Linked DNA regions of Pelodiscus sinensis. The protein of the gene in region 4 purifies or fractionates together with the protein of the main gene of each other region. This does not show direct contact. Links are inferred from orthologs where the notes say so. Each region holds a gene or a part of one and is shown on either strand. Other genes may lie near its edges. The genes, in order: ANKRD28, ANKRD52, ERCC6L and PLK1.

Region 1 (7,865 bases), on a different chromosome or scaffold from region 4:
GTTAACATCTTCCTTCTTAAATATTAATGCGCGAACTTCATCAGGGTCCCCATTAAATATGGCTTGAACCAGTGGTGGCTGAAACAAAAGAAAGTAGTAATATTCAAAAACAAACATTCCAGTCCCATGCATTACTGCCACTGTATGTTGGGGGGGGGGGGGGAGGGGGGAGGTGGAGGAGAGAGGGGATAGTTATGACAACATAATGGACCAAATGAATACTAAGATGTCATCCTGGGTAGCAAAATTTAAAAATTAACTATTGAAATACAGCAAAATTTGGCAGAAAGTACGTCTTTCTCTCCCCCACACTCCAATACACTTTACCATCTTGTACCATCTTGTAAACCACTGGATTAAAAATATAGTTTTCTATATTTTTAGATTTTAAACTAATCGTTTAAAAAAAACTTTAAAATAAATCCTTGTGGCAAAATAAGATTAGTCAGTCTAGGATACATTACATACTATTCAGAATATATGTAATACTCATTTTACATTAATTAGTAACATTAGAAGTTCTCATGTGTTTGGATAAGAGTAAGGAAACAGAGTACATTTAAATGATATGGTGACATGCAAGTGTGCACACAGGCATTACTAAATATAACTAGACTTCCTAATCAGCAACATAAACTTTTGTGATATGATATCATGATCTAAGTCAAACAGTAAGTTAGTCAAGAAAGCAAAATAATTTTGTTTAAGAAACCAAATTTCTTCAACACTTTTTATAAGTGATGACGTGAATGCACAACTACATTACATCTATAATCTGCTTTTCATAACTTTTTATTTTAGTGTGCAACTGATATTGCTTAAGATACCCTAGATACTATACCAATTCTCAAAATACACACAGCTTACCACATTATAAAGGTTACATCAGTTTCTAAAGAGGTACTGAACAGATACACTACTAAGAGGTAGGAGAGAAAATGTTTATTGCAAATATTTTTGTCAGACTCTCCGGAAAAAACGTACCATCATAAAACTAACCTTCAAAAATACTGTTATGCATAAAGGAGCCCTTACAAGTTTTAAATCCATTTCTAAATTTTAAAATATCTTGCTGCTTAATATAGGTAGTTTTAACTTCACTAATCAAAACTATTCAATCAACATATAAAAACCCCAGGTGCTACGATGCTTAGTCATGTAAAACCTATAACAAGAATTACTAGATTTTGCAACACTATTACAGAAAACATATCTTACCAAAACATTTCTGGAAGATGAAGAGCGTACAGATATGATTTCCTGAGGTAATTTTGAAGAAAATGTGGGAAAATCATCTTCAACCTCCTCCAAAACAACTATACACACTCGACTCATTCGATCCGTTTGAAAAAATTGTATTCAGAACCACACTGTAGTAACCACAGCTGAGACAGCACAGAAAGGACTTTTACCTCCTGAGTATATAGTCTCAAACATAACTTAACACTGTTGCTGGTATTTTAAAACTTTAAAAATGCTTCCCCCCCCCCCCACTACATTTAATTTAACACCCTGAGATGTTCAAACAAGACTGTTTTAAATATACATACATTTATATTTTTTAAAGACAAGATTTCGCCTGTGCTACAATACCAAATTTATGAAAAAAACTACTAAAAATATTCTTAGTTCTAACTAGATTATAGTAGAAATTTCAATATAATAAATATCTATAGCATGTCCTTTTACCAGAAAATCTGCCTTTGTTAATATTGCTAAAGAATAAATTTATCCACACAGTGAAATCATTGTTGTAGATGACAGGACACCATTCTGTATAGCGTGAAACAAGGAACAATTGCTCTGACAGAGACAATCACAGCTACAGTGAGTCTTACAAGGTCAGTCTTCAATTTACTGTACTAGGCTTTCTGATGATTGAAAATAAAACATCACTGTACTAAATGTATCAGGTTCTTATTCTGCAATTTTGGAGCTTCATTTTCCGTAATGTCAGGAATACTTCACACAAAAATACATCTATTTTTCAGCAATGATTCATAACATGATATTCCAAGGTTGATAATTCTTCCCGATGTAATAAAAATCTCTGCAATGTACAGCAGAGCTGCAGTACATTTACATGCGATGAGTCAGACCAAAAAGGACAATGAGACTTCTGGAATTATAATATTGCCTGTTTAATCCAGATTTTCCAAGTGACAGAAACAGATAGTTTTACTCCATCAGTGAAACAAGTAATGCAGAGCATTCATTTTTCCTCCATCAGGCAGTTGCTGTAGCTGCTCCAAAAGGGACCCACTATGCAGAAATGCTGTTAAGGAAGAAAGCTTGCTTGTTTTGCTGAAGTAACCAAAAGCTCCAAGTGCTCGAATTACTGCCTTAGACTTCTCCTGCAACAGCAGTTCATCATTCAAGTGTTTCTTTTGATCACCAAGTGAATACAGCTTCCGTTATAGTCTTCATTCAGACTGTGGAAAAAAACGAGATTCTGTGCATCTTCTCTGAGCCAACTTCATGCAAATGTCTGTGCCAACCGGATTTCACTACTAGATATCAGTTTTCTGTTGCTGATTTTCAGATTGTATATTCATTCAGTAGATAGTCCTGTAAAGCTCTGAAATCCCACTGTCTGAATTGGTCATTACAGAACACGTTAACAGCGCACAGTTCACACTCAAAGCAGCATTCAAACTGAGCAATAGTCTAAAGAGCACAGACTGCAGACCAGCAGGATGAAATGCCGGTAATGCTCACATGTTACACTTACCAGAGAACTAAGCTACTGCTCTGGATGCAACTTCCTCTAGCAAAAAAATAAACAAACAAACAGTGCCTTTTGGGAAGCCCTCACAGTCAGAATGCTTGTGCCAGTTTTGTGACTAATCCAGCTCATACGTAAAAATTCTATAATTGAAGAAAGAATGAGTGTTTAACATTTTCCACTAAAAGCCACAAAAAAATCTGGTATACTGGCTCTGCTGACTGACAATTAAGCAAGTAAACAATTCCAACATTCTAACTACTTTCACATGTTACTGTACAGAACAACCAGGCAATTATTTTACTCTGAAGACAAAAAAAAGTATTTTAAAACAGAAATCCCCTCTAAAAACTGAGATATAAAACTAGCTTTCAATGGTCAGTACTTTAAAGATAAATGTAAATATTACTTTTTCTACTAAACACACACAAAATCTATAAGTCTGAAAAATGAAACCAAGCATACCATAGCGCTCATTAATTTCACAGTCTTCCAACAAGCTGAATTTATATTTTGATTTGAATTTGCTTACAGTAACCATGCTGGTCTGTGGGAGTATTATACAACTGCATCATATGCCATAAACTGTTGGAAATATATCTGCATTAAGCAAACTGTTTTTTGTTCATAAACAATATAAAGTTTTTTGATGGCTATTGATTGCTGAACAATTCAGATTATAAAAGTAGAACAGGTTGAATAATCTAGGTGACTGATCAAAAAACCCACAGATGAAATTTGATATTGAAAACTGCAAAGTAATGCACTTTGGAAAATAGGGATGTTAAAAAGCAGGTAATTGGGTAACCATGTAACTGATGAAAATCCAGCTGCCGGTGCACACTAACTCCAGGTTCTTAATAAGCAGCAGGTTTAAAACATAAGGAAGTATTTCACACAATGAATGTAGAGCCAACCTGTGGAACTCAATGCAGGGGAGATATTGCAAAAGCGAAAAATAACTAGGCTCAAAAAGGAACTAAGTAAGATCCCGGAGGACAGATCCATCAATGACTATTAGCCAAAAGGGTCAGGGATGAAACATGTTCTGGGTGTCTCAAAGGACTGCCCACCAGATACAGGGACTGGATGACAAGAGACAGAGCACTTTGTGATTTCTCTCTTCTATTCACTCCATTTAAAACATCTGGCATTGGTCACCATCAAAAGCAGGATTCTGGGTTACATGAATTACTAGTCCGCCCATTACTTTCATTCTTTTGTTCTGATCTGATGCTTTTTTATTAAAGTGTTCTTATTCTGAACTTCTATGTACCAGTTCAGGACATGACTACAAAAAAACCACCACACACGAAAAAAACCCACCAACCACACACCACCACAACCCACAGAAGGTATCTGTTTTTACTGCTTTGGATACTAATAGATGTATTTTTTTCAAAAGGTTAAGTAGGAATAACTGATTCCCATCAGCACTGTCATTCCAAAGCACTGTAGACATTTTGAAATCATATGCCCACTAGGGAGGTCAACCTGTAGGCGACTATATGATTAACTGATAAGCCTAGGTTTAAGTATAGTTACAAGCTGGGGTTCAAGCATAGTTACAAGCTGGGGACCAACCGGTTAAGTAGTAGTTCTGCAGAAAAGGACGTGGGGGTTACAGTGGATGAGAAGCTGGATATGAGTCAACAGTGTGCCCTTGTAGCCAAGAAGGCTAATGGCATATTAGGTTGCATTAAGAGGAGCATTGCCAACAGATCCAGAGATGTCATCATTCCCCTTTATTCGGCTTTGGTGAGGGTCCAGCGGAGGGCAACCAAAATGATTAGGGGGCTGGAGCATATGACTCATGAGGAGAGGCTGAGGGAGTTGGGTCTGTTTAGTCTGCAGAAGCGAAGAGTGAGGGGGGATTTGATAGCAGCCTTCAACTTCCTGAAGGGAGGTTCCAAAGAGGATGGAGAGAGGCTGTTCTCAGTAGTGACAGATGGCAGAACAAGGAGCAATGGCCTCAAGTTGTGGTGGGAGAGGTCCAGGTTGGATATTAGAAAAAACTATTTCACTAGGAGGGTGGTGAAGCACTGGAATGGGTTACCTAGGGAAGTAGTAGAGTCTCCATCCCTAGAGGTGTTTAAGTCTCAGCTTGACAAAGCCCTGGCCGGGTTGATTTAGTTGGAATTGGTTCTGCCTAGAGCAGGGGGCAGGACTTGATGACCTTCTGAGGTCTCTTCCAGCTCTGTGATTCTATGATTCTAAGTTAATCTTGTTGACTACATGCATTTCCCCTCCCCCTCCCCTTACTGCCCCTGTATCAGAGGCAGGGTGGGAGAAGAGAGCAGGAGCTGCTTAAAAGCCATCTCTCTCCAGCATTGGTTCCATGGTGCCACCTATCAAAGGCAACAGCAGGGGGAAGGGAGAGGGAGAGACAGAGGAGGCCGTCACAAAGCAACCTCTGTCCTCAGGGGGTCCGAGCTCCCCAGCAACAGCCTGTGTCCATGGGGAGCTCAGACTGCAGCCTTCCCCTGCGCCCTTCCCTCCCCCCAGCAGCCTCTGTCTGCGGGAACTTGGAGCGCCATGAACAGAGGCTGCTGCCACCCCGAACTGCTGTCTCTGTATTAGAGAGGGCAACGCAGGGCAGCAGGCAGCCGGTTTTTAAACTGGCTCCCACTTGGCACCCCGCACTGCTGCCTCAGAGGGTATGTCTACACATCAAAGTTAATTTGAAACTACAGCCATTATTTTGAATTAACTTTCCTAGCGTCTACACAGCCAAACCGATATTTCGAAATAAAATCAAAGTAGCGGGGAGCTTATTTTGAATTTGGTAAACCACATTCTACGAGGAATAACACCAAATCTGAAATAGCCACTTCGAAATAAGCACTGTGTAGACGCTTATTCCGAAATAGGGGGCCTCCAGCCCTTCCCAGTTTCCCCTGGTGGACACTTTGGGCCAAACCAGGAAAACTCTTCTCCTTTACCCCAGGCCCGGAGCCCTTAAAGGGGTAGACTCTGGCCACGCTGTATGCCAGAGCCAGGCCTGCCAGCAGTCACTGACCCTCACCCAGTGGCCAGAGAATGAGCCAGGCAGCCAGTGCCAGCCAGATGTCCCCCGCCCAGTCCCTCAGCTCCCAGGAGCCAGCCAGGGGCCAGAGACGGCAGGCGCCCTCCTGGACTAGTGCAGAGATCATGAACATCATTGAGATTTGGGGGGAGGCCTCCAATGTCCATGAACTCCGCACTAGACGGAGGAACGCCTCTGTCTACAGATGCATAGCTGGCACCATGGCCACCAAAGGCCACATGTGCACACAAGAACAGGTGTGTATGTAGATCAAGGAGCTGTGGCAGGCATTCGTGAGGGCAACTCAAGGCAGCTCCTCAGCAGGGGCAAACACCTGCCCCTACTTCGACGCCCTGAACCGTATCATGGGGCGGCGGGATGGTGTGTGCCACACTAGGGGGCAGCAAGCCAGGACCAGAGGAGATACCACGGAGGGTGCCACGCTGGCTGGACCCCCGAGTTGTCACAGCAGCAGAGTCACCAGAGTCATCCAGGGAGGCCACACCATGTAAGTACCATCACTGTCCCCTTACGGGGCGGGGGGTGGGGGCCGACCAAGGATCACGTGTGGGCCTTGCTTACCACGAATCATGCAGCAAACTAGGTACGTGCGAGCACGTGCTGTGCCAACCATGGGTAGGTGGCTCCAGCTGTGTGCCACACAGGGGCCATGGCTGATAGCCTCACACGTGTGAAGAGACCTGACATGCTCCTGACCCCAGGGCGGGACACAGCAGGACACCCTCCCTTCACAAGCCCCCTCTACACAGAGGTAGGGGACACCTCCCCCCCCACCTCGGCCGCACTATACACAACACAGGGGCATGGGTGCGGTCTCAGGGCAGCTCCCATTCCCAGGGATAGCCGGACATTCCGACTATGGCCTCTGTACAAGCACAGTGGCTCTGACGGTACAGGGCACGGTCATCCTCACCTCGCAGAGGGGGGCTGGGAATCACCCACTATGTCCACAGGAAGAACTGACCACTTCTCCTCTTTCTCCACAGCCACACCAGCTGCACGTGCAGGGTGCACCACCCTGCTCGGGACATCCTCCCGCACCCGAGGGCTCAGCAGGTCCACTGCAACACTGCAGGGGTACCGAGACCAGCACCTGAGGGCCCTGCGAGCCCTGCACTGTACCATGGAGCAGTGGTTGCAGGATGAACAGGAGTTTTGGCCGGAGCTGCCTGCCCAGGGTCATGCCATCTGTGCCCATCTGCAGACCCTGGTGCAGAGTGTGCTGCCTCATGTCGCTTCAGCGCCTGCTGCCTCCCCAGTGCCTGCTCCTCCTCCCACCTCAACCTCTACTCCCTCCTCCTCAATCTCCACATCCCCCACCTCAACCTTTACACCCTCATCCCCATCCCCCCAGGGACACCGAAGCCCCTGTAGTGCTAGAAGACAGTTGGCCTGGCAAGATCCCCCCTCCCCCACCCTTGAGCTTCCCCCTTCCAGCTCCTTCCTCCTAGGTTTTCCCCTCCCCTCTCCCACCATCTCTCCTCCCCTCTCCTTTCCCTAGTCTCCCCAGAATTTCATACCCCCTCCCAGTTTTGTTAAGTAAACAGAGTTTAAATTTTTGAAAATACGTGTATTTTATTTGACATCAGGAAGGGGGGCTAGGGAGGGGTAAATGGAAGGACATGGGGGAGGAATGAGGCACAAGCCCCCAGTGGGACATGGCAGGAAGGCTCTCAGTGCTCCTCAGAGTGGAAGCTCTCCTGCACCTCCTGGATATTGACAGCCCCCCGATGGACCTCCTAGATGGCAGCCTGCAGAAAGTGCAGCCAGGTTTGCTGCAACATGTGCAAGAGAAGCACCAGAGTGCCCAGGGTGATTTTTGAACAAGTCACAACTAAGGACATTTGACTAAAAGGAACGATTTTATGTTCTGGCAAGCTTTAGGCGTTTCACTAATCTGTTTACTTGGGAGAAGTGAGTGCTGTCCATAGAATGCAGGAAGACTGAGGTTTAAAGAACAAGGCTCAGGTACATTTCCTACAGATGTTCTTGAAGAACAAGGGAAGAGACAGAAAATATCAACAATAAAATTATTACATGTAATAAAGATTTCCATATGTCAGCAAATTTCTCAAGATACAATATGCACTGAAA
Region 2 (6,941 bases), on a different chromosome or scaffold from region 4:
TAGCTTTAGTTGCCGTAAGACTTGGCTTTAGCCAGAAAATGCCGACACTGAACTTCCTGGTGGCCTAAAATGGATCTTGAAGGACAAACAGTTATTTATGCACTCGGACTCCAGGTCTGTCCCTAGCATCACCCTCCGTCCCCACCTCTCTGCTCCTGGAGGCTGAGACCACACAGTTAACAGGAGCTGTACCCTGGACAATGGACTTCAGGGGAAGTCAGAATCCCAACTGGCATCTTTGGTTCTGACGGCACAGGCATAACACACCTGCATCAGCAGAGGCAGCCCCACGCTTTGGCAGCTACCCTGCACCTCTCTGCCAGGCCCAGACTACCCGCCATTGTTTATCCTGGGCCTTTCCGTCTGTACAGAAACAAGTGCGCTGGGGCCAGGACTGAAAACAAACACCCTCGGCTCAAGGCAGCCCAGTAAGTCAGCTCTCTGCACCAAGCACTGGAGACCACAAGCCCCCACGGCATCTGCTCAGTAGCCGGAACCTGGAACTTGCATTTCCAGGGCAGACTTCCCGCCCCTGCTCCCCAGCTTCCCGCTCATCCCCTCCGTCCAAACGCAGGCATGAAAGCAGCTACAGGTGGGGGGGATCAGAGAGAAGGAGCGAGTCATTTGCGTGGAATGCAGCGGACTTAGTACCAGCATGAGGCATTTCAAAAACAAAAAAGGATGCACAGCCGATAATTATGCCCTGCACAGACCTCAGTGGCGCTTGCCGGCAATGCTGGGACGGACACACCCACCTACCATTCACAAGGGAAGCTGCATGTTTTGGTTACCCAAAAAAAAAAATTCTATTTAAATCTTAGGTCAGCTCCCCTTTTCCTTCTCTCCCTGACACGTGAGGCTTTAAAAACCTGGCCTATCAGTGAGATTGCAACAGCAAGGGACCAAGGGAGGGGTAAATATTTGGCTTCAAAGAGTCAGAAGCCTGGCTCTCAAAAACAAACCTGTCACATCAAATCAGGGGGTAAAGATTAGATGTTGGTAGGCCAGGGGAGGGGGATTGGAGGACAAGCCAGGAGAGAAGCAAAGAACAATGATGCATCAACATATCCTGCCTTAGGAAGATGAAGTATATACACTGCAGGGAGAGGGAAATAAAAGTCCCGCTTCTTGCAAAAGCAGAGATGGTTGAAACCTGACCTTTTTAAGAAGGGCTGTGACACAGTGAACTGGTAAGCATGAGGCTTTCTGATATGCTTACATGTTAACCAGCTGATCCACCCTTGCTGGTGACCCCCAGGGGTGGCTAAAGCAGCCCCCATAGCAGAGAGACCAGCCGGCTGGGCCCCATAGCCGCTGCAGGGCCAGACTCCAAGTTAAAATGGTTCACCGGTGAAGCGCTAGCATTTAACCGGTTAACCATTTTAACATCCCTATTTCTAAAGGAAATGGTGCGTGGTGATGGAAGCCGCAACAGTCGCTCTTCCTCACACACACACACACCCCTTTTGGGGAGTGGGGGTACCTACTGAGATCAGGCAGCCCTGCTGAGCTGGGTGTTGTCCCACAAGCCAAGTGGTGTGCAAACAGGCCTCACATCTGCCCCCAAGGAAAATGGGGCTCAAGACCCGTGTTTGTAGGGATGCTGAATCACACATCCCCACCCCAGACAACAGGGGACATGCAAAATGCCTGCCAGCACGCAGGGAAACGGCAGGGCATGCTACCCCACTCCCCAAATAACACAAGTGTGTGGGGGGTGAGATGAATTGCCCTTTAACTTGTGAAAGTGGGGTGCCCACTGTGGATGATGCCAAATCAACCCCCCCTCTCTCCAGAGGGAGGCTGAAAGAAGGGGAGAGTGGGGTGCAGAGGGAGCAGGCAGGAATAAAGGCGGGGAGACTCAAATCCTGTCCAGGACATTTTTTGGGGAGGTTGCGGGTTAAAAAGGTTGGATGTGGGGGGGCTGGTGGAGACGGGGTCAGGAAGGAGATGGGCACAGGAGGGCCAGGTGGCAGGGAGAAGATGGGGAGACACCGATGGGGGGGGGAGATGCAGGCAGGCCCAGCGGGGCGGAGCTGGTGCGGGGAAATGGGGCAGCAGGTCGGCAAGGAGCAAAAGATGGGGGAGGGACGGAAGCGGGGCAGAGGGGGGTCCTGGGGGCAGGCGGGAGGAGGGGCGAGGAGTGGATGGCGGGAGCAGAGAGGCCGGGGGGTGGGTGGGGACCCGGGGGTCAGACGGGGAGGGGCAGAGAAGCCGAGGGGGGCAGAGACTGGGGGGGCGGGGGGGCAGAGAGGCCAGAGGGACCCGGGGATCAGGAAGAGAGGGCAGGCGGGGGGGGGGGGCGGGAAGACCCGGGGGTCAGGCGGGGGGGCAGGGAGGCCGGGGGGACCCAGGGACCGGCGGGGGGCGGGCGAGGGGACCCGGGGGGTGGAGCGGGGGGGGGCACGGAGGCCGGGGGCCGGGCGGGGAGACCCGGGGGTCAGGCGGGGGGACCCGGCGGGGGAGGCGGGGGAACCGGGGGGCGAGGGGGCCCGGGGGTCAGGCGAGGGGGGGCGAGGGGGCCCGGGGGTCAGGCGGGGGGGCGGGGGGACCCGATGGGGGGCGAGGGTTGCAGGGGGGCGGAGCGGGGTGGGCACGGAGGCCGGGTGGGGGGACCCGGCGGGGGGGGGCAGGAAGGCGACGAGACCGGAGGGCGGGGGGGGCCCGGGGAGACCTGATGGGGAGCGGGGGTTGCAGGGGGGCGGGGAGACCCAGGGACTGGCGGGGGGGCCCGGGGGCCGGGCGGGGGGGCCGGGCCCGAGGGCGGGAAGGAGGCAGCGCGCGGCGGGGCCGGGCCTTGGGGCGGCGCCCGGCGGGGGGGGGGGGGGGCCAGGCCGCGCGGCCGGGGGGGGGGTACCTGGTCCGCGATGCTGAGGATCCCCATCTCCGGGCCTCAGCGCCGAGCTCCCGGCATCAGGCTCCGGCCGCGGCGGCTCCGGCTGCGGGGCGGGGAGGGACTGAGCCCGCCCACCGGGCCCGAGCGCAGCGACCCCTGCCGGCCCGCGGCCAGCCCGCCCGCGCGGGGCGGGGCCCTGGAGCCGGGGGGGGGGGGCAGGTCCCATGGATCCCCGAGAGGGGGGGGCCAGGCCCCATGGATCCCCGGGGGGGGGGCCGGCCCCATGGATCCCCGAGAAGGGGGGGGCGGGCCCCATGGATCCCTGAGAGGGGGGGGCCGGCTCCCATGGATCCCTGAGAGGGGGGGGCCGGCTCCCATGGATCCCGGAGGGGGGGGCCATGCCCCATGGATCCCGGAGGGGGGGGGGCAGGCCCCATGGATCCCTGAGGGGGGGCCGGCTCCCATGGATCCCCGAGAGGGGGGGCCAGGCCCCATGGATCCCGGGGGGGGGGGGGCGAGATGTGTGAGTCTCCAGGGGGGGTGACCTGGGACCCATGGAGCTCTGCAGTGGATCTGGGGCCCAAGAGGTGCTGGGCTAGGTGCCAGGGCCTCAAAGAGATCCTCTCTGACAGAGGAGGGTCACTTAGGGCCACCCCTGCCAGCAGTGCCTGGACCCTGCAGCCTGGACCCCCTGGACAACCTGGCACCCCCTTTTTGCCCTGGGGTGCATCACTTCTCCTGAACTTTGCCATCGCCTCAACAGGGGCAATCCAGGTAAGTCCATTTTGCACGTGGGCCTGTGAGCTTCCCTCAAACCCAGTCCATCCACCCCACATGGTTGGGTCTCAGCTGAGACGGGTGAGCAAAACAATAGAGAAACTTGGGCAAGTTAGGTGCCTCAGTGTCCCCCCAAAGCCTGTGGCAAGAGGTGAGGAACAGCCCTACCTACACGTCTGGTCAATTGCTATAACCACAGGGATCTACCACCATTTCCTGATGGCTTCCAAGTGGGATGGGTTGGTAGCCCCTGTAATAAATAAGAATTAAAAGCTGATCAAATTATTACATTCATTCTTTGCACTTCTATCTGAGAATCCACTGACTTGTATCTAGTATTCACAATAAAAAGTATCTAGTATTCACAATAAAAGATTACCTCTAATCTTTTCCATCCATGTGTGGATTTTTTCCCACCCTGTGTGGAATAATTTTTTGATGTGCACTGAGGGATGTGCACCACCAGTAGCAACAAAAAGTCTAGCTATGGGCGCTCTACTAATCAGCTGGGTAACATTGGAATTTCTCCTAAGCAGCCGCACAAGTGCACGTTTTCCAGAGAACACTCCTAGCACAGACCAAGCTGCCTCTCAGGCCTTGTTTACAAAGGGTTTGCTGGTACGGACACAATGGTAATCCCCCTAGTGGAGACAGCGATTCCAGCAAAACGGTTTTTCATTCTGTTCGCCCAATGGAATCGTTAAGACTTGCCAAATATTTTTGTTGCCGCTAAAACTGTGTCTACACTAGATCTTTTGCCAATCCAGGCCTATCGGTTGGGGTATGATTTTTTTTACGCTCCTAACAAATGTAGCTATACTAATCATATTGTCGAGTAGAGACCGGACCTCAGAGTGGAAAGTTTGGTCCTTTGTGGCTATCCCTCTCATCTGGAAATCAGGAGGTCCGAGTTTTACATGGACTTGACTCTCTGATTTTAGGAAGCTGAAACAGAGGGGTGCCCAGTGAAGTGACTCTCATAGACGTCAAGGCCAGAAGAGACCGTCATGACTGTGTAGTGCAGAATTCAGATCTCTTTCTTCAGGTGCCTTCCTAAAATCTCCTGGTTTCACCATGTACACAAGAAATTAACTATTAAACAGTTCTCATTTCTGTGCCAGTCTTTTAGGTCCTGATCCTTTAAAACTCACTCCCAGGTGTAAATGCTTCCATCTATGAATTCAAAGGATCTATTTATGGAAGTACGCATTGCGCTTGGTAGTAGATGTTTTCAGGATTGGGATGTTATATTGTAGGTTGTAGGTTCTTCAGACCAAGGATTGTTTTGATACCAGAGTAAGGATAAGGATGTTAAATATTGACTAATCGATGCCCTAGGGTTGTTGCTACACTTCAAAGGCAAAGGTGCCATGTGGAGCCTGGGGTCGGCTGGGCTTGATCCTGGGCTCCATGCAGTGCTGCCTGACACTGGGCTCCCCATGGTGTTTTAACATGGCAGCGCTGCACAGAGCCCAGGATCGTCAGGGGAGTCCCCAGTTGATCCTGGGTTCCATGTGGTGCTGCCCCTTTGAAACTCTGCATGCAGCCTGGGGACACTGCAGCTGGCCCCAGGCTGCATGTGGTGTTTCAAAGGGGCAGTGCTGTGTGGAGCCTGGCACCAGGCTTCAAGAGGTGCTGCTGCTTTGAAGTACCCCCTCTTCTTTGCTGCCTCTGACCTCCCTACATTTTGGGCCCCCCTTATCCTTCCTTTGTCCCAAGGCTGCCAGGTTTGGCTAGATAGAGGCAGCAAGGAGGATGGGGAAGGACTAGTCAACTATTCTTCACATCCCTATACCAGAGCACCTAGCATATTGTCTTTGCTTAACAAGTAACAAATCATAACAACAAAGTGGTGCTCTGTGGACCCCAGATAACCATTGCTGAATGACTCTAATAGCGACCTCATAGGCAAGTGAAACCTGCCAGACAAAAGGCCCCAAAAGTGGCTCACAAATCTTTACCAATTGATCCTGGGACATTTCAGCGGGCCTTGTAGATGTAGGGACCTGTAGTCTCTACTAGGCAGCTACAGTTCAGGAGAGCTTCCAAAAGCTGCCACCCTGGTGCTTGTTGGGGCAAGTTTTGGGAGCGCCTCAAAGAAAAAGTCCTGTTTAAAGAAACAAGTGATCGGTGCAACCAGAGGAGCTGAATAACCATTTTCTGCTGTGGCAAGGCGTTTCTAATTGCCCTCTCTGTCGCTATTTGAGGGCGCCGCTTTGAATAGCTGCCTCTGTGTTTTGAAACAACATCCACAGACATATTTACATTGACTGCCATGGAGCGTGGTGGGGACATAGTCTGGGGGGCTGGTGGGGCAGCACCACTTGGGGCTCTACTTTTGATCTCCGGTTGAACTGAGCTCAGAGGAGGAGCCGGGAAGCTGTTTGTACTGTTGATACTGTAGCTGGGCTATTTTTATCATGGTTTTGGACCATTAGCCAAGTGTTACCTACCAGTGAAATCAAGGTGAAATCATAGCACTGAAAAGCCATGAAGAGCAGCTGTTGACATTTTCACCAGTGACATATTTCCCCGAAGGAGGAAGCAGTCGGACTAAACCTTCCCTGGCATCACAAGATCAGCAGCCTGGTGCATCTGGAGGACTACTCCAGTCATTTGTAGTGTAGCCTCTCTTTTTCTTCTCTCTTTGCCCACAAAGGAAGCAAAAGGAGGGGATTCCTAGTCCAATTCTCTGATAGCTGGGGTTTGAGCAACATTCGGTAACTGGCTTCCCCAAAAGAAGATGGAATTAGATGATTCATAGATTCCAAGGTCAAAAGGGAATGGTGGTGAGAATGAAAATAGAAGGACATCTGGAACTGTTTAGACACTAACTGCTAATCAGTCCCAGGATATATTGCTTAGCCCAGAGGTGGGCAATAATTTTTGCAAGGGGGCCACTTAATGAATTTTGGTAGGTGGTCATGGGCCGGCAGGGCCTGGAGTGGAAGGGGCAGAGCATGGGGCTAGCCTCCCTCCAGAGTTGTCTGGGGCTGGAAGCTTTGAATTAAAGAGCTGGCTGCCCTGTGCTGGGTTGCTGTGGCGATTTAAAGGGCTCACAGCTCCAGCCCCTGCTGGGGAAGCACCACGACTGGCAGTCGTGAGCCCTTTAAATACAATCCTGCTGCCTGAGCCACTGCCTGGAAATTCAGTGGCCCGGGCAGCAGGATATAAATAGAATCTGGCCAGATGCAGTCTGCAGGCTGGATCAAAGTGTTAGGTGGGCTGGCTCCGGTCCCCGGGATGCATCTTGACCAGCACTGGCTTAGCCCATCGATCTAGGAGTCAGGACTCCTGGGTTCTGTTCATGGCTGCAACACAGGCATAG
Region 3 (7,707 bases), on a different chromosome or scaffold from region 4:
TGTTCCTAGGAGGGACCCTTGACAGGCAAAGTCAAACAAGGACCACATCTCACGTAGGTTATTTTGGACTGGTGTCCCTGTGAGGAGGATGCGGTTTTTTGCAGGAATAGCATACATAGATTTAGTAGTTTTTGTAGAGGAAGACTTAATTTTATGGGCTTCATCAAGAATAATGTAGTCCCAGACAAATTCTTGTTCATTAAAGCTAGAAAGTTGCTGCCAGTTATAGATCACCATTTGATACGTTGTGATCACTACACCAGTCTTTCTTTGGACTCTCTCTAGGTTTCTGTTCCGCTCAGTCTTGCTGGTGCCATGGAAGTCTTTCACCCTCAGTCCTGGAGTCCACTTGGCAAACTCTCTCCTCCAGTTGCTAACAAGGGTGGTTGGCATGACCAGCAGTACAAACTGTACGAGTTCAGCATCAAACATCCCAGAAAGGAATGCAATGATCTGGATAGTCTTTCCCAAACCCATGTCATCTGCCAGTATGCCCCCCTGCCTTCCATCGCGGTAGAGGCTGTATAAGAAGGCCACGCCTTCTCTCTGATGTTCAAAAAGTTTGTTGTGCATCTCTCCATAGATGGTAAGACCACTGTTACACACATCCACAAACCCATCCTCCTCCTCTGTGGCAAGTGCCAGCTCTGCAAGTGTTTCCTCAAGCCTTTTGATTCTGTTCCTCAGCTTTTCACTGGGATCAATTTCATTTGCAAGTTTGAAGAATTGAAGCGACTCTTCCAGATTTCCCTTTCTGGCCTCTTCTTTTGCCTGAGCCACATACCTATAGAACACAGGACAAAGCAGCAATGTTTAAATATATTAACTTCTAAAAACAACATATAACAGCTCTGCCATAATTAAGAGAAAAACCAGCTTTCTGTTTAGAAGCTTGACTGTTTTAGTTGCTTTAAACTCTATACAGGTAATTAGATTGCCTTGAAATTTAGTGTTGGGACACAGGATACAGGCAGTGATCCAAATTTGGGGGCACTTCACCCAGAGGTTGCTGGGGACATGTCTAAAAAAACAAAACCGTTCTTCTTAAAGTTGACATTCTGGCAAATTCTCGCCCACAGATAGAGATCAGCACACAGGGTCAAGAACAGCTTGAGGGTTACCCTAACGATAGAGCCCTTCCCCCCCCCCCCCCCGTTTTCCTCTTCCGTTCCCACACAGGAGAGGTGTATTTTATCTATTCATTTTCTGGATTTGATGTTGAAATTTGTCATTTCCTGCATTTCAGCTCACATGGGGGGGTTGGCTGGGAGAGCGACTGACAGAATGGGTCAGCTGTAAGAAAAACGGTGGTAGTGGTGGTGTTTTACACACACACACCCAGCAACCACCAGGTCACCCCCACTGGGTCCCAGGGTGTGCGCAAGGGGCTGGGCTTTGGGCTGCACAGTCAAGTGGCCTGGCCTGGCTCGGGGGGGGGCCCTAGGAGCCACATGCGCAGCCCGGGGCAGGGGGCAGCGAGGGACACTGGGCACCGTGCCAGGCTCTGGTGGTGGCAGCTGCGTGCCTCAGTTTCCCTCCTGTCCAATGGGAAGAAGGCGACAGAGCCCCCCCCGTAGAATCCCGGCCTCCCCCGGCATAGAGACCCCCCCCCCCTCCCCCGGCGTAGAGGCCCCCCCGCCTCGAGCCCCCCCGCGTAGAGGCCCCCCCTCGAACCCCCCCCGCGGAGCAGAGCCCCCCCCTCACCCGGCGTAGAGGCCCCCCCTCGAACCCCCCCGCGGAGCAGAGCCCCCCCCTCACCCGGCGTAGAGGCCCCCCCAACCCCCCCACGGAGCAGAGCCCCCCTCACCCGGCGTAGAGGCCCCCCCAACCCCCCCGCGGAGCAGAGCCCCCCTCACCCGGTGTAGAGGCCCCCCCAACCCCCCTGCGGAGCAGAGCCCCCCTCACCCGGCATAGAGCCCCCCCGAACTCCCCCGCGGAGCAGAGCCCCCCCTCACCCGGCGTAGAGCCCCCCCGAACCCCCGCGCGGAGCAGAGCCCCCCCTCACCCGGCGTAGAGCCCCCCCCCCGAACCCCCGCGCGGAGCAGAGCCCCCCCTCACCCAGCGTAGAGCCCCCCCGAACTCCCCCGCGGAGCAGAGCCCCCCCTCACCCGGCGTAGAGCCCCCCCCGAACCCCCCCGCGGAGCAGAGCCCCCCCTCACCCGGCGTAGAGCCCCCCCCTCACCCGGCGTAGAGGCCCCCCCCGCGGAGCAGAGCCCCCCCTCACCCGGCGTAGAGGCCCCCCCGCGGAGCAGAGCCCCCCCTCACCCGGCGTAGAGCCCCCCCGAACCCCCGCGCGGAGCAGAGCCCCCCCTCACCCGGCGTAGAGCCCCCCCCGAACCCCCCCGCGGAGCAGAGCCCCCCCGAACCCCCCCGCGGAGCAGAGCCCCCCCTCACCCGGCGTAGAGGCCCCCCCCGCGGAGCAGAGCCCCCCCTCACCCGGCGTAGAGGCCCCCCCGCGGAGCAGAGCCCCCCCTCACCCGGCGTAGAGGCCCCCCCCGCGGAGCAGAGCCCCCCCTCACCCGGCGTAGAGGGCCCCCCCGCACGGAGTAGAGCCCCCCCTCACCAGGCGTAGAGGCCCCCCCCCCCGCGGAGCAGAGCCCCCCCTCACCCGGCGTAGAGGGCCCCCCCCCCGCGGAGCAGAGCCCCCCCTCACCCGGCGTAGAGGGCCCCCCCCCCGCGGAGCAGAGCCCCCCCTCACCCGGCGTAGAGGGCCCCCCCCCGCGGAGCAGAGCCCCCCCTCACCCGGCGTAGAGGCCCCCCCCGCGGAGCAGAGCCCCCCTCACCCGGCGTAGAGGCCCCCCCCGCGGAGCAGAGCCCCCCCTCACCCGGCGTAGAGGCCCCCCCCGCGGAGCAGAGCCCCCCCTCACCCGGCGTAGCGCCCCGCCATGGCGCGCTGCGGGGGCCCGCTCTCTAACTGCGCCATAGCGCGCTGCCCGCCGGCCGCCGCTTGAAATGCCCGCCGCCTTCCCGACCTGCCCCGCGCGGGGCCGCCCCTCAGCCTATCACCCGCAGCATGCAAATGAGAGCCGGGCCCATCAGCCAATCGGCGCTTCTCAGCTGCGGCAAGGCGGAAGAGTCACGGGATGGGAGGAGAGAGCACGGGGCCAATGGGGGCAGGGGAGAGCATGGCGGTAGTGGGGGGGGGGGAGCACGGGGCCAATGGGGGCAGGGGAGAGCATGGCGGTAGTGGGGGGGGGGAGCACGGGGCCAATGGGGGCAGGGGAGAGCATGGCAGTAGTGGGGGGGGGAGCACGGGGCCAATGGGGGCAGGGGAGAGCATGGCGGTAGTGGGGGGGGGGAGCACGGGGCCAATGGGGGCAGGGGGGAGCATGGCAGTAGTGGGGGGGGGGGAGCACGGGGCCAATGGGGGTGGGGAGAGCCTGGTGGTAGTGGGGGGGGGGGGAGAGCACAGGGCCAATGGGGGCAGGAGAGAGTATGGCAGTAGTGGGGGGGGGAGAGCCTGGCAGTAGTGGGGGGGGGGAGAGCCTGGCGGTAGTGGGGGGGGGGAGAGCCTGGCAGTAGTGGGGGGGGGAGAGCCTGGCGGTAGTGGGGGGGGGGGAGAGCCTGGCAGTAGTGGGGGGGGGGGGAGGGGTGCACTGGTGGGAGCAGAGGGCATAGGGACAGGGTGGGAAGCAGGGTCACCGCCTGGGCAGGGGAAGGAAGCAGCTGACTGTACCTGAGAGGAAGGGGCTAGGCTGCCATGTGTGGCATTTAAATAATCCCCCCCACGCAATGAGCCCTCTCCACACCTGTTACACTCATCCTTGGGCTCATTTACTGCTCAGCTTCCCAGCTGATTCTCCCCTAAAGCCCTGCTGGGATCCTTGGCCTGTGTCTGGCCGCACAGACAGGTAGGATCCTGCTTTAGGGATTCGCAGTCTCAGTCACCCAAAGGGAAATCATCCAATTCTGTGACCCATGTACCCTCTCTCAGAGACGCAGCAAACTCATCAGAAGATGCAGGCTGGAGGCCTATTATTCGCCTTTGCTGTACCTCCCCACCCACACACATTGTTCTCAACACACAGATCCACTAACGTTTTGCCAGAATATGCCAATGCCTCCCGCAGTTTCTCTGAGATGTTCTCAGGAAAGATGCATCTGGTCACATCCATTGTGCTACTGAGGAAACACACAGGCCCAGCGAAAGCGAACCCTCCCTGGGAATATCTTTGGGTGGGAGTGTCAGGGCAGTGAGGCTTCCAGCAGGGGCAGAGGAGGCCTGGTACATCATGTCCCAGGGCCAAAATGGACACAGCAGGGAGTGCTTGGCTCTGGAGGGCTACGTCTAGATTGGAACGATTTTCCGCAAATGCTTTTAACGGAAAAGTTTTCTGTTAAAAGCATTTGCGAAAAAGAGCGTCTAGATTGGCACTGATGCTTTTCCGCAAAAGCACTTTTTGCGGAAAAGCGTCCATGGCCAATCTAGACGCGCTTTTCCACACAAAAGCCCCAATTGCCATTTTCGCGATTGGGGCTTTTTTGCGCAAAACAAATCTGAGCTGTCTACACTGGCCCTTTTGCGCAAAAGCTTTGTGCAAAAAGACTTTTGCCCGAACGGGAGCAGCATAGTATTTCCGCAAGAAGCACTGATTTCAGACAGTAGGAAGTCAGTGTTCTTGTGGAAATTCAAGCGGCCAGTGTAGACAGCTGGCAAGTTTAAATCTTGCCAGTCTAGACACAGCCGAGAGCATTTGCCCTGACAGCAGTTTGGAGGACATACACACTGCTTGTATCCCAGGACAGAGGGCAGGGTAGAGTTTTTTTGGGAGCCCAACTCTGCACTTACAGGGCTGCTATGGGGCCAAGATTCAGGTGCACGGAGCAGCATCTCTGGTGGTACATCCCACTGGCTCTAGTCCACACTATCAACCCCTCACTCTGGCAACATGAACACCTAACTGTCCACAACTGTTGTCACATTTCCAGCAGGACAGTGAAAAACTTCAGGGCCTGGTGGTGAGGCGCACGTGCGTGCGTGTGTGTCCCTGTCTCGGATCAGTGTAGCATCAGCAGGCACCTAGCTGCCGTGCTCTGGCCCGTGCTCTCGGTGCCAGAGCTATCTCCTCCGTTTGTACATCTGCAGTCACTAACACAGCCCCATTGGGGCTACATCTAGACTGCAAGCCTCTTTCGAAAGAGGTTTTTTCAGAAGCTACTTTCGAAAAAGCCTCTTTCGAAAAAGAGCGCCCAGACTACAACCAGTACTTTCAGCGTCTAGACTACAAAGAGCACTTTTGAAAAAAGGTGTTCTTCCTCATAAAACGAGGTTTTCCACGGTAGAAAAAACTGCCACGTTCTTTCGATTTACTGTTGACAGAACGCGGCAGCAGGCTAGACACACCCTGTGGTTGTTTGGTGACTGGTCGCTGTGGAAGAACCTTGTTTTGTGAGTAAGCTGCCTGTCAGGGCTCTCTTGGATCACTCCCCTCATGGGCCTGAGTCAGTCTGCAGTGGACTGCACTGCCATTTCTCACCAGCATGGTGTGAATGGCGAGGTGATCACAAGCCAGTGACGTGGAGTAGTGCAATATGGCTTCAGGGTTCAGTGACAATTCACGGCCAGTTACAACTGCTCTGCTTCTCCAGCAAGGGCAAACCTATCTACTGAGTATCTGCGACCTTAGTGTCCTGCTGGCCACTAATAAGCAACTGGGGGCAGGGGCTCGAGGGGGACATGGGAAGGGAGAACTTCTTGTGATCTCACAGTTCCACCAAGCCATGACTTCCTCACTGGCACAAACCAGTGACCATGAATTGTCCCCCTCATCCCAATGGCATGTGGATGATTTATTTCAGGCCAGCCCCTCTGACTGTCCACTTCTGCCAGCACATCGCCATCTGTCACACCATGGGGCTTCCCTCCAGCTTATCTTCCTAAGACAATGTGCTGTGTAACTCTCATTGGGATCCCTCGACATGCAGGATGCAGCTCCATCCGGAATGCACACTCAGCCGGGGACCAGCAGTAGCACTGACCGTGCCACTGAGACTAAGGGTGTGTCTAGACTACATGCCTCCTTCGACGGAGGCATGTAGATTAGCCACATCGGAAGAGGGAAATGAAGCCGCGATTAAAATAATCGCGGCTTCATTTAAATTTAAATGGCTGCCCCGATCTGCCGATCAGCTGTTTGTCGGCAGATCGGGAGAGTCTGGACGCGATGCCCCGACAAAGAAGCCTTTCTTCATCGACACAGGTAAGCCTCGTGAAACCAGGTTTACCTGTGTCGATGAAGAAAGGCTTCTTTGTCGGGGCATCGCGTCCAGACTCTCCCGATCTGCCGACAAACAGCTGATCGGCAGATCGGGGCAGCCATTTAAATTTAAATGAAGCCGCGATTATTTTAATCGCGGCTTCATTTCCCTCTTCCGATGTGGCTAATCTACATGCCTCCGTCGAAGGAGGCATGGAGTCTGGACACAGCCTAAGAGCTGAGCAGTGTCCAAGACAGTGTTGCCTAGCACAACTATCCAAAGCTGGCGTGGGGAGGGTCCCAAACAATCAAATGGTGGTTTGGAAGAGAGTAAACTCTTGTGGATCAGGGCAGAAGCCAACGGCAAAACTTTGTAGTTTGTTTGTTTGTTTGTTTGTTTGTTGCAGGGGCACTTTGAGGTTTTTGGCTAATTACAAAATTGCTAGAGAAACAGACCAAGATAGCTGATTATTTTTAATTCCAGGAGGGACCACTGTAGTCATCTAGTTTGTCCTTTTACATAACACATAGAAAATCCCTCTGTCGGCCCCCATCCCACAACTAGAGGCTGTTTTAGAGTACGTGTTTGGGAAAGATAGTCACTCGAAGTACAAATTCCAGTTGCCTGGAGAATTCCTCAGGAAGCTGTTCCAATAGATATTACAAATCTGCCGCTTATTCCCAGCACAGCACTCTCTGAGCACAGGCCCAAAGACCCGGAGAAGTCCTGGCTGCAGAAAGAGAGGCAGCAGCTTAAGGAAAGGAAATTCAGGGAGCAGGAGCTGAGGCAGCAGCAGGAAAAGCAGCACCCACAGAGAGTGGAGTGGAGCTCTGGATGAGTGGTTGCTAAGCCCCGACCTGCCCACTCTTTCACCTTTTACATGTTCTTATATAATAAAAAACACTGTTGGGGATTGGTGTTTCCAGGAACCTGGAATGACAACAACTAGTTTCACTCCTTCATACTTATTTAAATAACACAGAGATGATTTTATGACTGAACCTGGGAATAATGTGTCAGAACTCTCTGGGTAGCGCATAGCAGTGTTTCTATTCCGTAATCACTGCAAATATTTCCACGAGTCATCACCAGGGCTGTCTGGAGTTTGAACAGCTGAGCCCACGTTGTAAGGAAATGGACTTTTTCTGTAGCCATATTGGAAAGCCTAAAGCTGGATGTCCACTTATCCTGAGTGTGGCCAAGTTTCCAGTGGTCCCAGAAAGTTTGTTTACAGCCACCAGTCCTGGCTCTCAGTGTTCTGTGCTGACATTTACTCTAATTTACCCGATGGCTGTGTCTAGACTGGCAAGTTTTTCCGCCAAAGCACCTGCTTTAGCGGAAAACTTGCCAGCTGTCTACCCTGGCCGCTTGAATTTCTGAAAGAACACTGAGGGTATGTCTACACTACAGCGCTAGTTCGAATTAACTTAGTTCGAATTAGTTAATTCGAACTAAGCTAGTTCGAACTAACGCATCTAGAACTAAAAACTAGTTCGAACTAGCAAGTCC
Region 4 (6,838 bases):
TTAACTCAGCTTTCCCACGGAACCCCGTTCTATGCTTGTTTTCTCAAAAACAGAAGTGCCAGTGAGTCCAATGGGCTCACTCCCAAGTTAAGTGCACTCTAAGCACAAGCAGTCTTAGCTCTATTGGCTGGCAAGACTAACTCCCGCTCTGCAGCAGGCTCCATACCTTGGGGATGTTGTACTCATTCTTCTTAATTCGGATGTAGGTTTCTTTTAGACAAGAGGTTTCAAAGGGTGGTTTCCCTACCAGAAGTGTGTACCTGCATATTTAAGATACATAAGAGCCTGTCACAAGGAGAGCACACGATTTCCACATGAAGGATCATTTGCAGCAGGGGGATGAGACACCCAGGAGATGCAGGGCAGCAGGCAATTGTATTTGAAATGCCAGGTAGATCTCCAGTTCCCTGCTCCTTAGGGGAGGCAGCTGGAATCTGGTACCCTTGGGAGAGAGAACCGGTGAAACTCGGGACATCAGGTCTTTAAATGGACAGGATTCAAAATAACTTTCACTACAAGAAGTAAGCCTGCAAAAGCCAGTGGTTGTGGGTACAGGTAGGTGCACACACAGCAGCTGGCAGGTCAAGGCAAACAGGAACATTGTTCTGATAGTCAGATCTGAGGAGTTTTCCAGAGATAGTCAAGCTCTGATTACAAAGCAAACGAGTCATGAAGGAAGCTGAGACTCATCACCCATCTCTAGCCCTTGGTCACTGCCATTAGGAGTCTTGCTAGGGCAGCCTAATTTGCAAACCACTTTTTAAATTGTAACCTTTAAGACCCATTTACAGCCATATAGATTTGAACCAAGCTAGCAGTGTTCTAGCAAGAACTCTTCAAATATTGTTCTCACTAGAGACCAGCACATAGCTACATCTCAGGGCAATTCAAGCCTTAGGCCAAGTCTACAGGGTAGTGAAAAGTGTCTGTATAGACACAGCTAGGACAGTGGAAGACTTGTTCCACAGACGTAGCTAATGCACCTCTCTTCTGAGGGGTGGATTAATGCCATCGAGGGAGAAAGTCAGTGTAGAAAGTATCTGCACTATACCACCACAGCGGCTCAGCTACACCACCATAGCTGGGCCATTCTCACAGACATACCTTAGTCTGCACTTATCCAGGTTCTGGCCTGGACCTGATCACTTTTGTTTTATAGTGTCTCCTTTAAGAGGCTCCTCACAAGCTAAGATTAACTTAAAACCCGGACCCCAGTCTAGCGGACTGACCATGGCAGCCCTAAGTCCCAAATTTAAGGGCATGCAAACTAAAAACCTGAAGATTTGTCATGGAACGTACATAATGCAGCCGATGGACCAGATGTCCACTTCAAAGCTGTGTCCCTTCTTGCCCAGCACCTCGGGGGCGATGTAGTTTGGTGTCCCACACAGCGTCTTCTTACGTTCACCATCATATTCTACTTTGGTTGCCAAGCCAAAGTCACCTGGGAAGATTTAGGTACAAGAATATTTGCCTAGGGCCAGGCCGGGCACCAGGGAGACTGGTTTCCTTAGCTCAGAGTTCTCAGGCAATGGTGCGTGGACAGTCGGTCTCATCCTGTGAGCAGCAAGTGGCAGAATTATGGGCTACATCCCTCCAATACGGAGTCGGCCCATCCAAAGCATGGGATGTGCTCGGATCGGGACTTTACAAGGCCCGGAATCCGCAGCGAGCGGCGGGGGCTGGGCGGGCTCCCGGACCCGCTCTGTGCTGCAGGTGTCCGTACCTATTTTCACCTCCATGTCGTCGTTGAGGAAGAGGTTGCCCAGCTTGAGGTCCCGGTGAATGACCCGGTTGCTGTGCAGATACTGGCAGCCCAGGATGGTTTGCCGCAGGTAGTAGCGCGCTTCCGGCTCGGTCAAGGCTTTCCTCCGCTTGTGCAGCTCCAACAGCGACTGGGGGCCAGGAGAGAGGCAGGGTGATGAGCACCCCCAGCCCAGAGCCTGCCCCTGCTGCCTGGGGACGCTCTGCGGCGGGCACCCCCCCGTCCTAGCTCCACTGAGGAGAGTAACGTCGGGAAGGCTTGGGAGCACCCCCCACCCTGCACCGCTGCGCGGGGCTACTGGCCCTTTAAGGCGCTTCGAACGCTCGGACACGGTGGAACGCAGAGACAGTATCAGCGTTTCCGGCTGCGGCCCCGCTACCGCCCCCAGCCCCGTCCCCTGCGGGAGCCCCCCGCCCCCCCGCCGGGCCGGCAGCGCCCCCGCCGCAGGACAGGCCTGAGCCCCACGGGGCCCACGTCCGTCTGCAGGAAGGGAACGGGCCCGGCCGCCCCGCGTCCCGTCCCCCCCCCCCCGGCCGCCCCTCCCCCGCCGGCGGCCCCGCGTCCCGTCCCCCCCCGGCCGCCCCTCACCCGCCGGCGGCCCCGCGTCCCGTCCCCCCCCGGCCGCCCCTCACCCGCCGGCGGCCCCGCGTCCCGTCCCCCCCCGGCCGCCCCTCACCCGCCGGCGGCCCCGCGTCCCGTCCCCCCCCGGCCGCCCCTCACCCGCCGGCGGCCCCGCGTCCCGTCCCCCCCCGGCCGCCCCTCACCCGCCGGCGGCACAGCTCCAGCACCACGAAGACGAAGTCGCTGTCCTCGAAGAAGCCCTGGAAGCCCACCACGTGGCGGTGCGCCAGGCTGCGGTGGATGGAGATCTCCATGGACATCTTCTCCTTCTGGTGCGGCTTCACCAGCAGCGACTTGGGCACGATCTTGCCGGCGAACACCTCCTGGCCCTCCAGCTCCGTGATCTCGTAGCACTTGGCGAAGCCGCCCTTGCCCAGGAAGCGCCCGCGCATGTAGCTGCGGCGGGTGCGGGGATCCACCAGCACCTTCGGGATCTCCTTGGCCACCGCCGTCGCCCCGGGCCCGGGCCCGGCCGCGGCCCCCTTCCCGGGCTCGGCCGCCCCCGGCGGCTTCGCCCCCTTCCCGGACACCGCGCTCATGCTCCCGCCCTTAGCCCCGCTCTCGCCGCCGGCCGCCGCGACACTGTAACAATTTCAAACCTCGAGCCGGAGCGTTAGCCGCGCCCAGCGCGCTCCCCATTGGCTGCTACGATTTAAAATCCAAGCCGCCCGCCGCTAGGCACCATGGGAGCCCCCCCGCCCCGTTTAAAGGGACAGCAGCCCCGGGCTCCGCGAGCGGGCAGCCGCGAGCAGGGGGCGTCGCCGGAACATCCGGGCTCGCCCTGCAACATCCGCCCCGCTGTGCAGGCCCCTGCCCCACAGGTGCAATCCTTGCCCCAGCCATCCTGCCCCAGATGTGCAGCTCTAGTCCCTGCCCCCCACACCTGAGATGTAGGTCTAGCTCCAGCTCTCTGCCCCAGATGTGCAACTGTAACCCAGCCACCCCCTCCTGCCCCAGATGTGCCACCCTACCCACATGTGTAGCTCTAGCCCCAGCCATGCTGCCCAATGCACAGCAACCAGCTACCCTCTCCCAGATGTGCCACTAGAACAACCTCCCCTTCCCCTGTTGCACTTTCACAGCTTCCTCAGTGTTGCAGGCCTAGACCCAGGCTTTGCACTCGCTGCTTCATGCAGTGTAGGAACTGGCACCCCCAGGCACTGATCGGTGGACAGGTCACTGCTAGGGAAGAGCAAACATTCGCTTGCATCAGGGCCCCCGGCACAGCCTGACAGCCACAAGGGACCAGCCAAATCCCAGTAAGTCATTTTCTGAATGATTCTTTTTCCCCCTCTGCCTGCTGAGCCATAGGTGCTGGGGGGAAGCACATTACCTGACTTGAAGTGGTTTCTGTTATATATGGGACCTACAGTTTGGTTCAACAACTCTCCCACGCCATTTCTTTAAGTCCCAGGCATTAGCTTCTGTTGAAGGGGGCTATTAGACCTGATGGATGAAATAACCTAACCTGGTGCCACAACTTCTATTAATGGTGTGTTTGTTGAAGCATTAAAGGTCCAAATGTTAATCAAATGGATTAAAAACTGATCTGATACAAGCACAAACAAATTCATTGGAGGAGCAAATAATTCATTTGGGCCAGGTGATACAGATGAAGTTTCCAGTAAGACTGACATGAAAACAAGTTTGCTTGCTCACTCGCCTCGTGTGAGGTTTGTTTTTATTTTGTGACAGTTGTGCAGTTAATGGAAATTAAGCAAACTCGTAACCAAACAAGCCTATTCCAAGCAGAATTTACCCCAAGAGCAAGATGTGTCAGGGACTTCTCTGTGGGAAAGTCACATACTGTAATGCCAGGCAGCCACATAAGCCCAACAAGCAATAGGAGCCCTCTGTTTTGAGAAGGCCCAAGTCAGGCCAAGGTTACCCCTCCGTAGCATGAGAAACCCTCACATAGCACTGAGCTTGGCGCTGCCACTGCAGTGGCCTCCTAGGCAGCTTGCCTGTGTCTGGCCTCCACGGCTCAGTGCTCCTCCTCCCTCCCCCGGTTCAGCCTCTCACTTGCATGCTGCCCGACTGATTTTTCTGTAGGTCAGTGGCCCCTGCTCCAAGAAAAGGTTCCTCATCCTAGGCATATGGGAAGCAGACTAGATAGCAGCACTCCTGGAGCCTGAATAGGGCTCTGCCTGCCCCCACAGGACCCAGGCACTTAAATCATGTGGGGAACAGGTCCATGGGTTTCATTACAGGGAGCTAGAATGGTCATGGAACTACAGAAGGAAGCAAGTACCTTCATGCACATCTGGGTCACATTACAGTATGAAGCACTGTTTGGGTGGGGGTAGGTTCTACAATACACCTGCTATCCCCCCCCCCCCCTTATTTCCTTTCCACACCCTCCCACCACAGCTGGAGAGACTTCTAGCCTGCTGCTAGTCCAGCATGAGGGAGTCCTAGGGAGCCTGTTAACTAAGATACCATCACCCCTGAGCCATGGCAAGAAGCATGGGCTGGACTTACCCAGCCCCGTGCTGTCAGGTCTGCCTGTTTTTAGTGACAGGTTCCTGCTCCCCCACACTCAGAGGTGCTGTCACTCCACCCTTGTCTCCTTCAGGAGATGCTGCTTTGGGAAACATGCGCTGCAGGGGGGGTCATTTGGCTTCTCCCCCAGAGGGGCTCCCTGACCAGGACGGTCCCCACTGCAGTGCATAATGGAGGCCTGGGCCGCGTCCCAGGCTGTTTGCATCGCCAGTGCCTCTGGGCTCGGTCCTGGTGTGAAGAAACTGCATGAGCCCCAGCAGCACCTGCCTTGCAAATTAAGCCCTGTTCTGTCCCTTGTGGGATCCCTGGCCAGCTTCAGAGCTGCAGCTCACCGGCCTGTGCCCACGGGCAAAGGCACAGCCCTTTCCTTGGAGGGAGGTGGGTGGTGGGACTGACTGCAGGACCAGAGGTGGAGCAGCTGGGCTGCTTGATTTGTGTAGTAGAAGCTCAGCGCCCAGGTGCCAGCATCACAGGGGACCCTGCAGGTCAGGCCCCTACAGAATAGAAGGGGCAGGTGTCCCAGGGAAGGGATTCTGGCTGCTGACTGCTGAGACCTCACATTGTTGGAGGGGAAGCCATGGCGGAGGTGGGACCGGCCTGCACGGAGCATGAGAGCTCATCCTACCATGCCAGCTGGAAACCGCCCCAGAGCTCGGGTCCAAGCTAACTGGAGCCAGGAGGCTGCGCTTTGAGGCTTCCCCCGCCCTCTGAACCCAGCACACGGGAAGCGAGTGGCTGGTCACCGTCCGTGCGCTCTCCCTGCTCGCTGCTCCCGCAACTCTCCGCCTCCCGGTGCCTGGAGCCCCCACCCTGGAGAGCCGCCCTGAGCCAGCCGCGGCTGGCGGGCAAGAGAGGCAGGCACGGACCCCCGTCCAGGCGGCGGTACAGGGGGAGCAGAGTCCGCTCCGTGCCCGGCTTCTGGGGCCGTCAGCGACCGCTGGCGTCGGGGAACGCTCCGGAACGCGTCGCTCCAGCCAGGCGGCTGTCGGGGACCCGATCCCGCCCGGCCCCGGGCCCTAGCAGACGGCGCAGCTGTGGCTCTTGGCGCCGCGGCGGGGCGGCTCCTTGCCGAAGGGCTGGGGCCGGCGGCGCCGCAGGGCCGGGCTGAGGCGCCCGGGCAGGTTGACCTGGCTCAGCAGCTCCTGGAAGAGGCTGAGCACGTTGCGCCCCTGCTTGGCCGAGGCCTCCAGGCAGGTGCAGCCCCAGTCCCGCTGCGCGACGGCCACGCGCGAGTCCGGCTGGCCCGGCGCCAGGTCGCTCTTGTTCCCCACCACCACGATGGGCACCGGGCCCCGCCGGGCCTCCAGGATCTCGTCCCGCAGCCGCTGCACCTCGGCGAAGGAGTCGGGCTCCTGCAGCGAGTAGACCAGGGCGAAGGCGTCGCCGCGGCCGATGCAGAGGCGCCGCATGGCCGGGAAGCTGTAGCTGCCGCTCGTGTCCAGGATCTCCAAGCGGAGGCTCAGCCCCGAGCCCGGCTCCAGTTCCAGCTCCAGCAGGTGCAGCTCCTCCACCGTGCGCCGGTGCCGCGCCTCGAACGCGTCCTGCAGGAAGCGGCGGATCAGGGCCGTCTTGCCCACGCCCGCCGCCCCGAAGAACACCAGGCGCACCCGGGCCTCGGGCGCCAGGCTGGGCGCCATGCAGCGCCCTGTCCCCGGGCCGCCCGCCGCCAGGGAGTGCCGGGAGCCGCCCGCGCCCGCTGCTTTATAGCGCCCGCCGCGGGGTGCGGCCGCCAGCCAATCCGCCCGCAGGGGGAGGTGCCCGGGGCCGACACCTGCCGCCCCCCCGCCAGGGAGAGAGAGGCAGGGGTGCGGAGCGGCGAGGGTGGGGCCTGGGAGTGGCGGGGGCCGGGTGGCACCGGGGGACACGGGGAGAGGGGGACACAGGAGGAGTGAAGGGGGGTCAGGGGGCCCGGGGGAGTGAGGGAGGACGGGGGCCATATACCGCGGACTG

What was found.
Region 1: the proteins of PLK1 (region 4) and ANKRD28 purify together in Homo sapiens (affinity purification with mass spectrometry; 6 studies listed by BioGRID and IntAct, with this or other methods). This does not show direct contact. The link is inferred for Pelodiscus sinensis from reciprocal best matches to the Homo sapiens genes PLK1 and ANKRD28.
Region 2: the proteins of PLK1 (region 4) and ANKRD52 purify together in Homo sapiens (affinity purification with mass spectrometry; 3 studies listed by BioGRID and IntAct, with this or other methods). This does not show direct contact. The link is inferred for Pelodiscus sinensis from reciprocal best matches to the Homo sapiens genes PLK1 and ANKRD52.
Region 3: the proteins of PLK1 (region 4) and ERCC6L purify together in Homo sapiens (affinity purification with mass spectrometry; 9 studies listed by BioGRID and IntAct, counting the BioPlex papers as one, with this or other methods). This does not show direct contact. The link is inferred for Pelodiscus sinensis from reciprocal best matches to the Homo sapiens genes PLK1 and ERCC6L.

The regions. Positions count from the first base shown.
Region 1 is NC_134712.1:194,231,216-194,239,080, reverse strand, and holds the start of ANKRD28 (serine/threonine-protein phosphatase 6 regulatory ankyrin repeat subunit A), read right to left. Parts: upstream 3,015-7,865; 5' UTR 1,839-3,014; exon of another isoform or gene 1,386-1,838; 5' UTR 1,336-1,385; coding exon 1,219-1,335; intron 79-1,218; coding exon 1-78. UniProt on the Homo sapiens protein: Regulatory subunit of protein phosphatase 6 (PP6) that may be involved in the recognition of phosphoprotein substrates. Involved in the PP6-mediated dephosphorylation of NFKBIE opposing its degradation in response to TNF-alpha.
Region 2 is NC_134729.1:3,913,262-3,920,202, reverse strand, and holds the start of ANKRD52 (serine/threonine-protein phosphatase 6 regulatory ankyrin repeat subunit C), read right to left. Parts: upstream 3,009-6,941; 5' UTR 2,885-3,008; coding exon 2,858-2,884; intron 1-2,857. UniProt on the Homo sapiens protein: Putative regulatory subunit of protein phosphatase 6 (PP6) that may be involved in the recognition of phosphoprotein substrates.
Region 3 is NC_134723.1:1,974,567-1,982,273, forward strand, and holds the start of ERCC6L (DNA excision repair protein ERCC-6-like), read right to left. Parts: upstream 3,009-7,707; 5' UTR 2,924-3,008; coding exon 2,868-2,923; intron 785-2,867; coding exon 1-784. UniProt on the Homo sapiens protein: DNA helicase that acts as a tension sensor that associates with catenated DNA which is stretched under tension until it is resolved during anaphase. Functions as ATP-dependent DNA translocase. Can promote Holliday junction branch migration (in vitro).
Region 4 is NC_134726.1:39,869,425-39,876,262, reverse strand, and holds the start of PLK1 (serine/threonine-protein kinase PLK1), read right to left. Parts: upstream 3,007-6,838; 5' UTR 2,926-3,006; coding exon 2,530-2,925; intron 1,896-2,529; coding exon 1,727-1,895; intron 1,445-1,726; coding exon 1,300-1,444; intron 261-1,299; coding exon 167-260; intron 1-166. Other genes in the region: ras-related protein Rap-2c-like, read right to left, coding at 5,905-6,525. UniProt on the Homo sapiens protein: Serine/threonine-protein kinase that performs several important functions throughout M phase of the cell cycle, including the regulation of centrosome maturation and spindle assembly, the removal of cohesins from chromosome arms, the inactivation of anaphase-promoting complex/cyclosome (APC/C) inhibitors, and the regulation of mitotic exit and cytokinesis.